Caenorhabditis elegans: one gene and its partner. The protein of the gene in region 1 interacts with the protein of each later gene in a pairwise test. Each region holds a gene or a part of one and is shown on either strand. Other genes may lie near its edges.

Region 1 (5,149 bases):
TCAAAACGTCATAACTTTGCTAAACCTGGACCGGGGCAGCTAAATTTTTTGGAGAGATCATTATTTTCACTCTTTTATCGAAAAATTACTATGGCATGCCAAAGTCCGGGGTTCAGTTTTTCGACTTCCCTTGTAAAGAAGTTTAGGAAGCTGAATTCTTGATCTATATTCTAGTGGAATGCAAAACCAAATGTAAAACTAAAAAACAAATCAATCAGTTAAATAACCTAATTATCCCTGACCACCACATCATGAACTCCCATTTGTTCGCCCTAAAAAAGTCAATCGCATCCAATTTGATATCTTTGTTCCTTTTATTCTACCAAATCAGTCATTCTTTCTGAATTACCGATTCCTGATCGTGACTCATCAATTTTTATTCCATTTTCTTGCATTGTTTTTGATTTCTCAGACATTGGAGTTTTCATGTTACGAAACATAAAAACAGCCTCACGAGGTTTCTTTATCACCAATGAATGTGAGTACTTGTGTGGAAGCTGTTTTGGTTGAGAGTCATCTTCCCAGGGCAAGTTACTTGATTGTTTGGGGTTTGATTATGCTATTTTCATTAAAAAAAAATTAGATTCTCAGTTCTGACAATGTTTGGGAAATTTGACATTTATTATGAAGCCTCGTCAAAAAAAGTTTCAAAACCCAAATGGTTCAATCACATGACACTTTCTTATCACCAACTGGTCCTTGCACTTCTTCTACCAACTTCCCTCTATTCCCACTTTTCCGTTTTCCGTGTTCATGTCCCGGGGTCCGAGAGAGAAAGAAAGAACGCCTGTTTGATATCTGTGTCTCTCACTCTCTTCTTATCACTACTATCTTTAATTGTTTCGGGGTCCCCCCACTACTACCCTCCTCCTCTTCTTTCTTGTGTTCCTCATAAAGAAACGAACGAAAAATACGTTTTTTCTCTCTTCCTACTGTTTTTCAATTTTTTGATTATTTCCATGTTTCTGTAGCCTTTTCTTCTTTCCGGTTGGCCAAGAAACAATTATTAGCTTTTTTGTTAATGAAAAGAAATATCGATAAAACTGATAAGAAAACAATTGGTTTTGTTATCAGTTGTTTCTCTCAAACCAATCACTTACCCTTTTTCTCATTTTTCGAGAACCGTTTTTTTTCTGTCTTGGTAATTTTTATCAGATCCAATTCATTGAAACGAGAAGTAATAAAATTTAAAACTCAAAAAATTCATTTAGTTTCAAAAAATATAAAATGCTTTCGCTACAACTACAGTAACCTGCGAGGAACTTTTTAAAAGTTATTTTTATCAAAAACATGTTGTTAAAAATAATAAATTAAATTCAAATGATCGACTATGACTATGAAACAATTTAAAAATGTTGTTTTCTTTCAGAAATTTCATTTAAATTCTAAACTTTTTTTAGTAACTGAATTAATTTCAAATTGCTGGGCAAAATGATTACTGTAAAGCAACACAGTTTTGTTGGATTTTTTTTTATATAATTAAACTTTTTGGAATGATGATACATTTTGCAGAATTTTTTAATTGGTCCTAAATCGGTTTCACTTCGAAACATTTATTTTCCGCGGAATATTGTTTCAAAATCAGGATTTTTATTGTAGAAATTGCAAAAAAAAATTTTTCAATGAAAAAGACAAATTTTAGAAGTTTTAATTTACACAATTTCACACTCTCATCATCCTACTTCCCCAAAGTACATTACCAAAAATTTCAAGAAAAAAATGATACTAATATTTTCTGAATACTCTTTCACCTGGTCATTTAAGTTCCATATTTTCCCAGTTTCTCAATAAAATAGTAAAAGTGGCTCGTAAATCTTTCGTCAGTGAGAGTGAAACGGCTCGACTGGACACGGGGACACGGGACACCAATTGAACACTAAATTGCGGTCAGAAAGGGAGAAGAAATCTATAAACTGAGGAAAAGCATATCTCATAATGTGAACTACTCTATTTCAAAAAGTCTTAGCTGACCAATGACTCTTTTAAAATATTTCTATTGAAAATTCAAGTTTGTTTTCTCAACTTTTCAATATTTTCCCACATGTTTCTTTATTTTCTTCCTTTCCGTTTTAACACTCAAACAAAGTCAATAACAAAAATGTAAATTTCAGACCACATCCATGACAGGAAACTAGAATAAATATATAAAATGAACGACTGTAAGCGGTTTGAAGCAAATATTTTCAATAATGGAAAATGCAAGATTTGCTATAAATCCAAACAGAATCATTCATCAGAATCAATTGAAAATGCAAAGGTAATTTTTGTTTGATTTTTAGTTGATTTTTATTTGAAAAAATAACGTTTATGACTTTATAAATCAGTATGATTTGGCCTAAAATTCAGCTTCAATCAGGTGTTTAAATGAGTTTTTAAACATGAATTTCCAATATTTTTCAGTAAATTTTGTTCGAAAATAGCAACTATTTTTTAAAAGATTTATTCGAAAATACTTTTAATTCTAATTCAAAAATTTCCAATTTTTGGTAGTTCGAAACTTCCATGAAAATGCCAACACTTTTTTAACTTCAAAATTAAATTAATATAAATTCGTTAGTTTTTTAAAAATAATATTTTGATTCTAAATTTCACTTTAAAATATTAGAATATCAAACAGAGTACGGTATTCTACTAAACTACCAAAAATAATTGGCATCTTCCCAAACGCTGTGCCCCGAATTTCTGCGAATCTTAAAACTAATAATTAATTGTAAGAAAAGCTTTTTTTTCTGTTTTCCCGTCTCCATTTGCATTTTAATGTTGTAGAAAGACGAAGATTGAAAAAAGCACTACAGTTTTTTTACAAAATTCAATATTTTGGTGTTTACATAAGGTATAGTTTATTGATATGAAATGAAATCAGTAGTATTTGAAAAAGAGTATACTGAAAAAGACATGTTCTTCTTTCTGTGTCTCTCAATTTCTAATACTATTTATCATTTACTTTTTTATTGATAACAAGTCCATTTTGCAATCGGAAATGATATAAAAATGCATAGTTGATTATTTTTTGGAATGCTTTTCTCTTCATTTTAAGGTTTTTTGAAGTATCTGATTTGAAAAAGAGCATTATTTATTTAATTCTAAACTTTTGAGTTTAATTATTTATTTGATCAGTTCTCAACTTTTTTGATTGCATTTTCCATTTCTAAGGGTACACAATTTTCAGTTTGACACTTCAAAAGTTCCAACAAAATATTAGAATAAATTATAATTGAACACTCCAAAATTTTTTAGCTTTTTAAAATTTTTTTTTAAATTTTTAGCAAATTGAAAGTTTTAGAAATTTCCAAAAATTGAAAAAAAAAACTTTAAGGTTCGCACGTTTGAACTTGAATAATATTTTAATCCGAACAATGGAAACAAAATTAAAATATTTGCAAAAAAACCTTTTCCGGTTGACTTTCGAAATGCTGATAGGCGGAAGCTGTAAATAAACTAATTTTGGGCTTTTTTAGCACCACAGAGGTGATTTGAATCATCTTCCCCATTGCCGCTTCTCCACCTTTGAAGCTTTGATTGTTTTGGAATAAAATTTTCAGCCAATACCTCTAAGCTGGTAATAGATACCTGAACATATAGTCTTAGTTTCACCAATCGGTTCCACTTTCATTCTTTTTTGTGTCTCATTTCGTTTCGCATCAGTTATTTTTCTGCAATCACACTTCGGCCCATTTCTTTTTCTTATCCAATCCCAATACATTTTGTTTTTTCATTGGAAGACGTTCGTCTCTCTTCTGAGCAATTATCCTTTCTATCTCTAAACTCTCTTACTATTTCAATAGTATTCCATTTCATAAAAGTGCGCACTTTTGGGTCGTCCAGAGACATTCAACCAGAAAGCATTGATTCTTCCCTTCTTTTTCCTTCCTCTTGTTTATTTATTCAGCAGTGACACTATCCTTCACTATTCCTCTTCCATTTCATCCATCCTTGCATTTTTCTTATTTTTTTGGTAGTTTTTCTCTACAGTGACCCTATTAATTGGCTCAAGTTTTATTTCTAATACCGACACACACGATTTTTGCTTCAAACAATTATGGGACAAAAAGATGAATTCCACTTGACATTTTGTGAATGCCAAAAAATATTCCGAGATATTTTTTGTGTCATTTAGTAAAAGTCACTATTTTTAGCTGGTCTAAGTGAGCACTGAGTTTTGATTTTTTTCAAATATTATAACATCATCAATGTTTTTTAACTGAACCTGAGGCTCTGATTTTTTAGGGAATAAAAAATTGAGTGTATAAGTTTTGGATTCAAAATGACGCATTTAATAAATAAGTTCGTAAGTTAATTTTAGAATTTCTGGAAATAAACTTCTACGTAATTGAAAGATATGTATGCCTACCACAGAATTGATAGTTCCCTGTTAATTTTCTATTTTCTATAAACATTTATCTAAAAGTACCATAAAAATCGCAATCTTATAAACTTGAGCAATTTCGTTTTTTCCTGAAAAACATAAACACGAAATTCTAGACAGATTGCCTAATGCACCATTGGCCATCCTCCAATTTATAAATTTTAATCCAATCTTCTATCATCTTCCACTTATTATTATTATTATGCCCACCACTTCCAATCATGCTTCTTCTCTGACCATCATCTCCTTCTTCTTATCATTTGATTGCGCATCATTTTATCTGTTTATACCCGACTTGGCTTGTATCCAAGTTTTGAACACCCACTCACACATTAAAGTATCTTCATTCGTCTCGATATATCGTGTTCGTGTTCACTTTCTACATTCATTCAATGACCTGCTTTCTACCTTCCATTCATCCTTGTTTTCAACATCTTACCACTCACTCTTTTTCTCATTTTCTCTTATTTTCTCATGCTCTATCGTTCATCTAGATGGATGTAGGTAATGACTGGGAGAAAGAGAGTAGAATCCATCCTCCAATTAGTTCCTTTTCTGCTTCTAGAATTGTTTTTTGTTGTTTCTAGGTCTAACTTGCACCCATGACATTTGGATTTTCAAAACTTGGATTTTGAAAAAAAACTTTTACTTAAAGGCGCACGGATTTTTTCAGATGGATAGAAGAAAGTATTTTCAATAATATCATTATACATAGTTTTTGTAAAGGAAGAGCTTTTTTGAAGACGAAACAAATGTTTTCAATTCTTCAATTCTTTTAAAAAT
Region 2 (5,266 bases), on another chromosome or scaffold:
CTAAAATAAAAAAAATCTGTCAGATTTTCAAAATTCACAATGTTAAAATTTTAGCTAATTACATTTTGTAGTTGCTGGAACTTTTCAAAAATTGGATCAAAACGAATACCGTATTCTTACCAGTAGATTTACACCACAATTGTTCAACTTTGGCTGCTCATATTTCGGTTGGCTTTTGTTCTATCAAAAATATTAAAATTAATGCAATTTATTTCTTTCACTACAATCTTAGTTGTTGAATATTTTTTTGATATCTGCACAATGAACCGAGATCTAAGTCGTCAAAGTAATAATGGTATTTAAAAATGTGAGGAAACTAGGGAGTTAAGAGCATCCAAGGGATCAACGTTTTTACATTGGACCAAAGTATCTGCAAAAGCGCGCGGCAAATCATGTAGGCACAAAGGTAGGCATTTGTGTGTTTTCATGAATATTGAGAATTCAGTAAATAATGTGATCTACCTACATAAAGGTTCCTATAGGAGTTCTCTGTAGAGAACTTCAACTATATTTTGGAAGCATGATTTTCCCTGTTTCGCCTTTGTCTCTTCTCAGCATCAATCAAATTTTTGCATTTCTCAGGATTAATGTGTGTCTTTTTCGTTGTGTTCTCGTAACTACGAATCTCCAGCTGATTCCCTCGAGTACAAATTGCAAACAGCCGTCCCCTTCTTCTACTTCTTGTCCTTCATTTTTGTTTCTAAAGTCGCTGTCATCACTGTGATTCTGTGGTGACTGCTGCAGCACAACATGCCAGATGCGTGGCAGATGTTGAAAACTTTCGGAAGTTTGTGTAGAAATCGGAGAAGAAGAAGAAGAACTTGACGAATTATATGAGCCTGACCAGCGCTGTCGTCTCGGTGCGTTTACCATTAGTATGTTACAAAATTGACCTGTCTCCCTTTCTTTTTCTATCCGCAGAGGATTTAACGCTTTATGAGAAAACCGTTCACCATATTATCGGCGAGAAGCAAAAGTGCGTGCCGTAACGGCAAAGTGTATGTTTGTTCTCCAAATATCACATTCAGCTTTTTTGCGCCTCGCAAGAAAATGCTCTAGGCTTGCCGACGGTCAACTCGAACCTTCTGGACCAAATTGAAAATTTTCCGACTGTCCTGAAACTATAGCTCCTAATAGTTGTATTTTATTTTTAAATTCAAAAATTTTCCAACATTAAGAAAGAAGGGAATCGAGTTTCCCAGGTGCAATGACTCACGGCTTTTCGAACGAAAGTGGGATTTTTGACGAATTTCAAATTTTCGAAAGTGGCAAGTATTTTCGCTAAAGTAATGTTATTCTTTTCAAAATATTGTCTAAATTTTCTAATTTATTACTAGAAAGTTTTAAAGTGCTACAGTAATCATGACTCTAAAATTATTAAGTTAACATGTATATTTCAATTTTATCTAATTCATTATAAATATGTATTGAAAACTTACTTATATTATTTAGTTGAATTTTTATTAGAAACACCAGTTTTTACTAAAAAATAGAGTTTAAATATTTTTCATGTCTCTTTTAGTAACAAAATTTATTGAGTGATACCCGTAGAAAACAACAGGTGTGACCGCACTAAAATATATACAACACACTACATTTCCCGCAATTCATGTAGGCCAAATGGTGGTGGGTACACTGCACGCGTGTTAGAGTTGCCCCTCGGTTTAGTCGATCGATAAACAGTATTGCATCCCTGCTAGTCTTCCACATACCTCTTTAAGACACTACATGGAACAATTCAATTTTTTTTCGCTTTTTTCATTTTTTTCTTTTATCAATAATATCTTCGAACTTCCAAAACATTACACGATTTGTTTTGTTTCTGTTCAAATTGAGTTCAAAATAGGGCGCGCGAAATTTTTTTAGTCGAAGACTTCATTTTTCGGTTTTTCTTGCTCGTTTTGCGCTATACTTTTCAATACATTTTGCGCAAATATCTTGTTGTCACCTGACAGTGCTAAACTTTCTGAAAAATCTGCGCGCACTTCTTCTTATTTATTCTTCTTCCAATTTCCAATCTCTGACTCATTATTAATTTGTCATTTCGACAGCGCCTTATTCATATTCACACTGCACTCTTTCTCATCTTTTGCTTGTCCCTTGCTCTCCTTCGGGTTCTCTTGAGGTCGCCGACACACAAACGGTTGTTTCGTAATAAATATTTATTTGTTTTCGCAAAATTTATGCGGTCCCCTTTCTCATGGGCCATTCCGAACTTTGAAGATAGTAATTCATTTTCGTTGCAGAGAAGACATTCCAACTCGACATTCTCTTAATGAACCCACGACTAAAAAGATGACCGACAAAACAGCTGGTGAGATTGAGAGTTTAGTCCATAAACATCAAGATTATTAATTTCAGAACTTTGCCTGAAAATTGGAGATGAAGAAAAGGATGATTTCACATTGGAAATTGAAAAGCTTCAGGTTTGTTTTGATTTGTTTCATGTCTAACGGCTCCACCCCAAAATAAAACTCATTTCAAAACCACTTCCCATTGTTTATTCGCAAGAAAAAAGGATTAGTGAAGTAGTGGAAGGCTCTTCCCAACCACTTGTTCGTCGTCCTTCTGAATTCCTCCCCTCACTATCCCAAGTTTTCAGGCCACTCTTCAAGAAATGCTCGATTGCACGAGCAGCCCAAGCACTTCACTAGATTCCACTGACAAACGTGAGTTATTCAATCATTTATGACCTTCAAGAAAGATATTGAGTTTAACGAAGAAGTTTAAAGTTTGAATATTCCATGCATTTCAAAGTTCAGTTTACAGTGAAATATAAAACAGAGCTTTTAGTTATTGTGTGGTTGAAAAGTTTTTAATTCTTTAGTGAGTTTTTTTTTCAAACATAGATAGATATAATACAATATGCTCCCTATTAGTATTACACCTACATTTCTATACTCTGAGATTTCATATTTCGATTATTTCTAAAGATAAAAATGTAACCTAAATTTTACTAGTTGAATACTTTCACTGTCAAAAGAAACACAGTAGGAGCACACGTTAATACCTAATTTTTTAATATTCATCAAGACTGTCTTAAAATTTTTTTTTGTTTGGGTTCCGAATAAAAATTTAACAACTAAAGCAAAAAAAATCATTGTAAGTCAAGAAAGATCATTTTTGAAAAAAAAACCAAAAATCAGGAAATAGCCAAAAAAAGACTGAAAATAATTTTTAATATTCTAGTGCCATCCGGACTTGCTGCTCGTCGACTGATCCGTATTGCCAGTGAACATCATCATATTTCCACGACATCTTCTTGCCATTCGGACTCTGGAAACTCTTCATCTCGAGACGTCATCACCCCGTTTACAGTACATGGCGGAGCCTCAATTGGACGACTCATTCTGATTGATATTGTGCGACGTGATGATTTAATTGGAATTGTTCATCCTAACGATATTCTTTTAACAATTGAGAACATGTAGGTTTTCTAGAACATTTCTTTTTTTATTATTTAAATTTTCAGAAAAGTATCAGGAATGGTAAGATCTGAAGTGAATAGGATATTGGAAGATATGATGAGAGAACATGATCAAATTGCGATTGAAATTCTACCAGCTGGAGCAATTACCGATGATATTTGTGAACTACTGGCCGATAGAAAATCATCTGGTGAACTTCAGACTATCATTCGAGAAAATTTATATCAGAAGACAGTTCCTTGTGAGTTACAAAAAAAGTTGATCTGAAACTAACTAGATTGGATTTAATACTTATAAGTTTCATTCCTCAAAACCTCATTGTTTTCAATGGCACTAGCAGCTGCCCACAGGGAGTATCATTGAGATGAAATAGTGTGTGATCTAGAGAAACCTAGACATCCGCCCCATTAAATTAGGTGATTTAGGATCTAGGGGATCATCACAAGGTGGGGGAGGGTCCGAAGCTGGCCACCAGTGGAAGTGTTAAAATGTTCGGTTCGCCTTTACCAAAACATTCACTAAAACCTGCATTTCTTTCCAAACGAACATCTCTTCCTGTTATTGATCTAAAAGATTATTATGGAGGGACAAGTATTGAAGTTAAAACAAATTTCAATTTCAAAGTGACCATTTTCAGACACAACTCGACCTCCACGAGAAGGTGAAGTTGATGGAGAACACTATCGATTTGTGTCTGTAGATGATTTTAATAAGCTTCTCGACAGTGGTGACTTGCTCGAAAATGGTACATATCAAGGTAACCTCTTTTCTCCATGTTCAACTATTTTACGCTTATTATCATAAAAGAAAACCGCTGCTTCACGGTTTTACTTGCTCGCGAATCTCCGTAAAATCCAGCCACCTGGTAGCCTTTTTCGGCACCTGTCTTAAGAATTTCTTATTTCTTATTTCCACCGCTTCAATAGCTCCATCTGTCTTTGTCTGCGATCTCTTATATCCCCTATTACCTTCTCATCACACTCACTTACCTGTTTTCTACCTCACAGTCCTCGTCTACCCTCTTACGCAATCTTGGTATGTCCTCAAATGGAGGACTGTACCCTCTACGTCTCCTGCTTCATAACACTATTTCGTGACAAAACACAGTCCCATTCCGCTCATTTTGCATCTTTCTCCTTCCGTTGTCCCTCTCTCTTTCTCTCTTACCTGACACAATGGTTCATTCACCTCTCTCACCAAAATTGGAGTGGATTACATTCTTTGCATGTGTAAAAAGTGCACCCTAAAATTTGAAAATTCTTTCTCAACGGATCTGCCTTCCCAGATCATTTTTCATCCATATGTCCGCCTTGAGAAAATGCATATATCATGCTCACTTGTCATCGGAGCCCACCAATATCCATGTGACAAGTAGCAGTAAACTTGACTATTGTTTTTGGCTCCTCTTCATTCCATTTCGGAAAGAGAAGACTTGGTGATGCCCCCACAGATTCGATTCAATTTCGTTAATTCAATCTCATAGTGGCTTCTTCCATTCTTTTCTGTTTCGTTTCTATTCTTCTTCTTACTTTTTCGCATCCTTCTTATTCTCGCCCTACACTTTCTCTGCTTAATCCCTGTTTGAACTAAATTCTCGGAGAAGACAAGGAGTTAGCAGCAAAAGTTGAATCCTGAAGTTTTTTTTTCGTTTTTTTTCTTTACTGGTGTCGTTGCCTGCCTATTTGCGTCCTTGTCAAAACAATGCCATTTTTCGGTCAAGTACCCTGAACCAGTACTAGTTTTGACAGTAAGTCCGAAAATGGAAGTTGAAAGGGCATAATGATGATGAGGATTGTTATTGAAATAGAGATGCAAAACTGGCGTTTTGACATTCAGGT

Evidence for each region.
Region 2: the proteins of F10G8.8 (region 1) and magi-1 interact in a two-hybrid assay, tested with the Caenorhabditis elegans proteins (2 studies listed by BioGRID).

The regions. Positions count from the first base shown.
Region 1 is NC_003279.8:10,058,989-10,064,137, reverse strand, and holds the start of F10G8.8 (PH domain-containing protein), read left to right. Parts: upstream 1-2,111; 5' UTR 2,112-2,149; coding exon 2,150-2,257; intron 2,258-5,149.
Region 2 is NC_003282.8:11,712,795-11,718,060, forward strand, and holds the start of magi-1 (Guanylate kinase), read left to right. Parts: upstream 1-2,244; 5' UTR 2,245-2,295; coding exon 2,296-2,314; intron 2,315-2,361; coding exon 2,362-2,426; intron 2,427-2,602; coding exon 2,603-2,669; intron 2,670-3,189; coding exon 3,190-3,427; intron 3,428-3,472; coding exon 3,473-3,669; intron 3,670-3,730; exon of another isoform or gene 3,731-3,907; intron 3,908-4,065; coding exon 4,066-4,185; intron 4,186-4,424; exon of another isoform or gene 4,425-4,569; intron 4,570-5,266.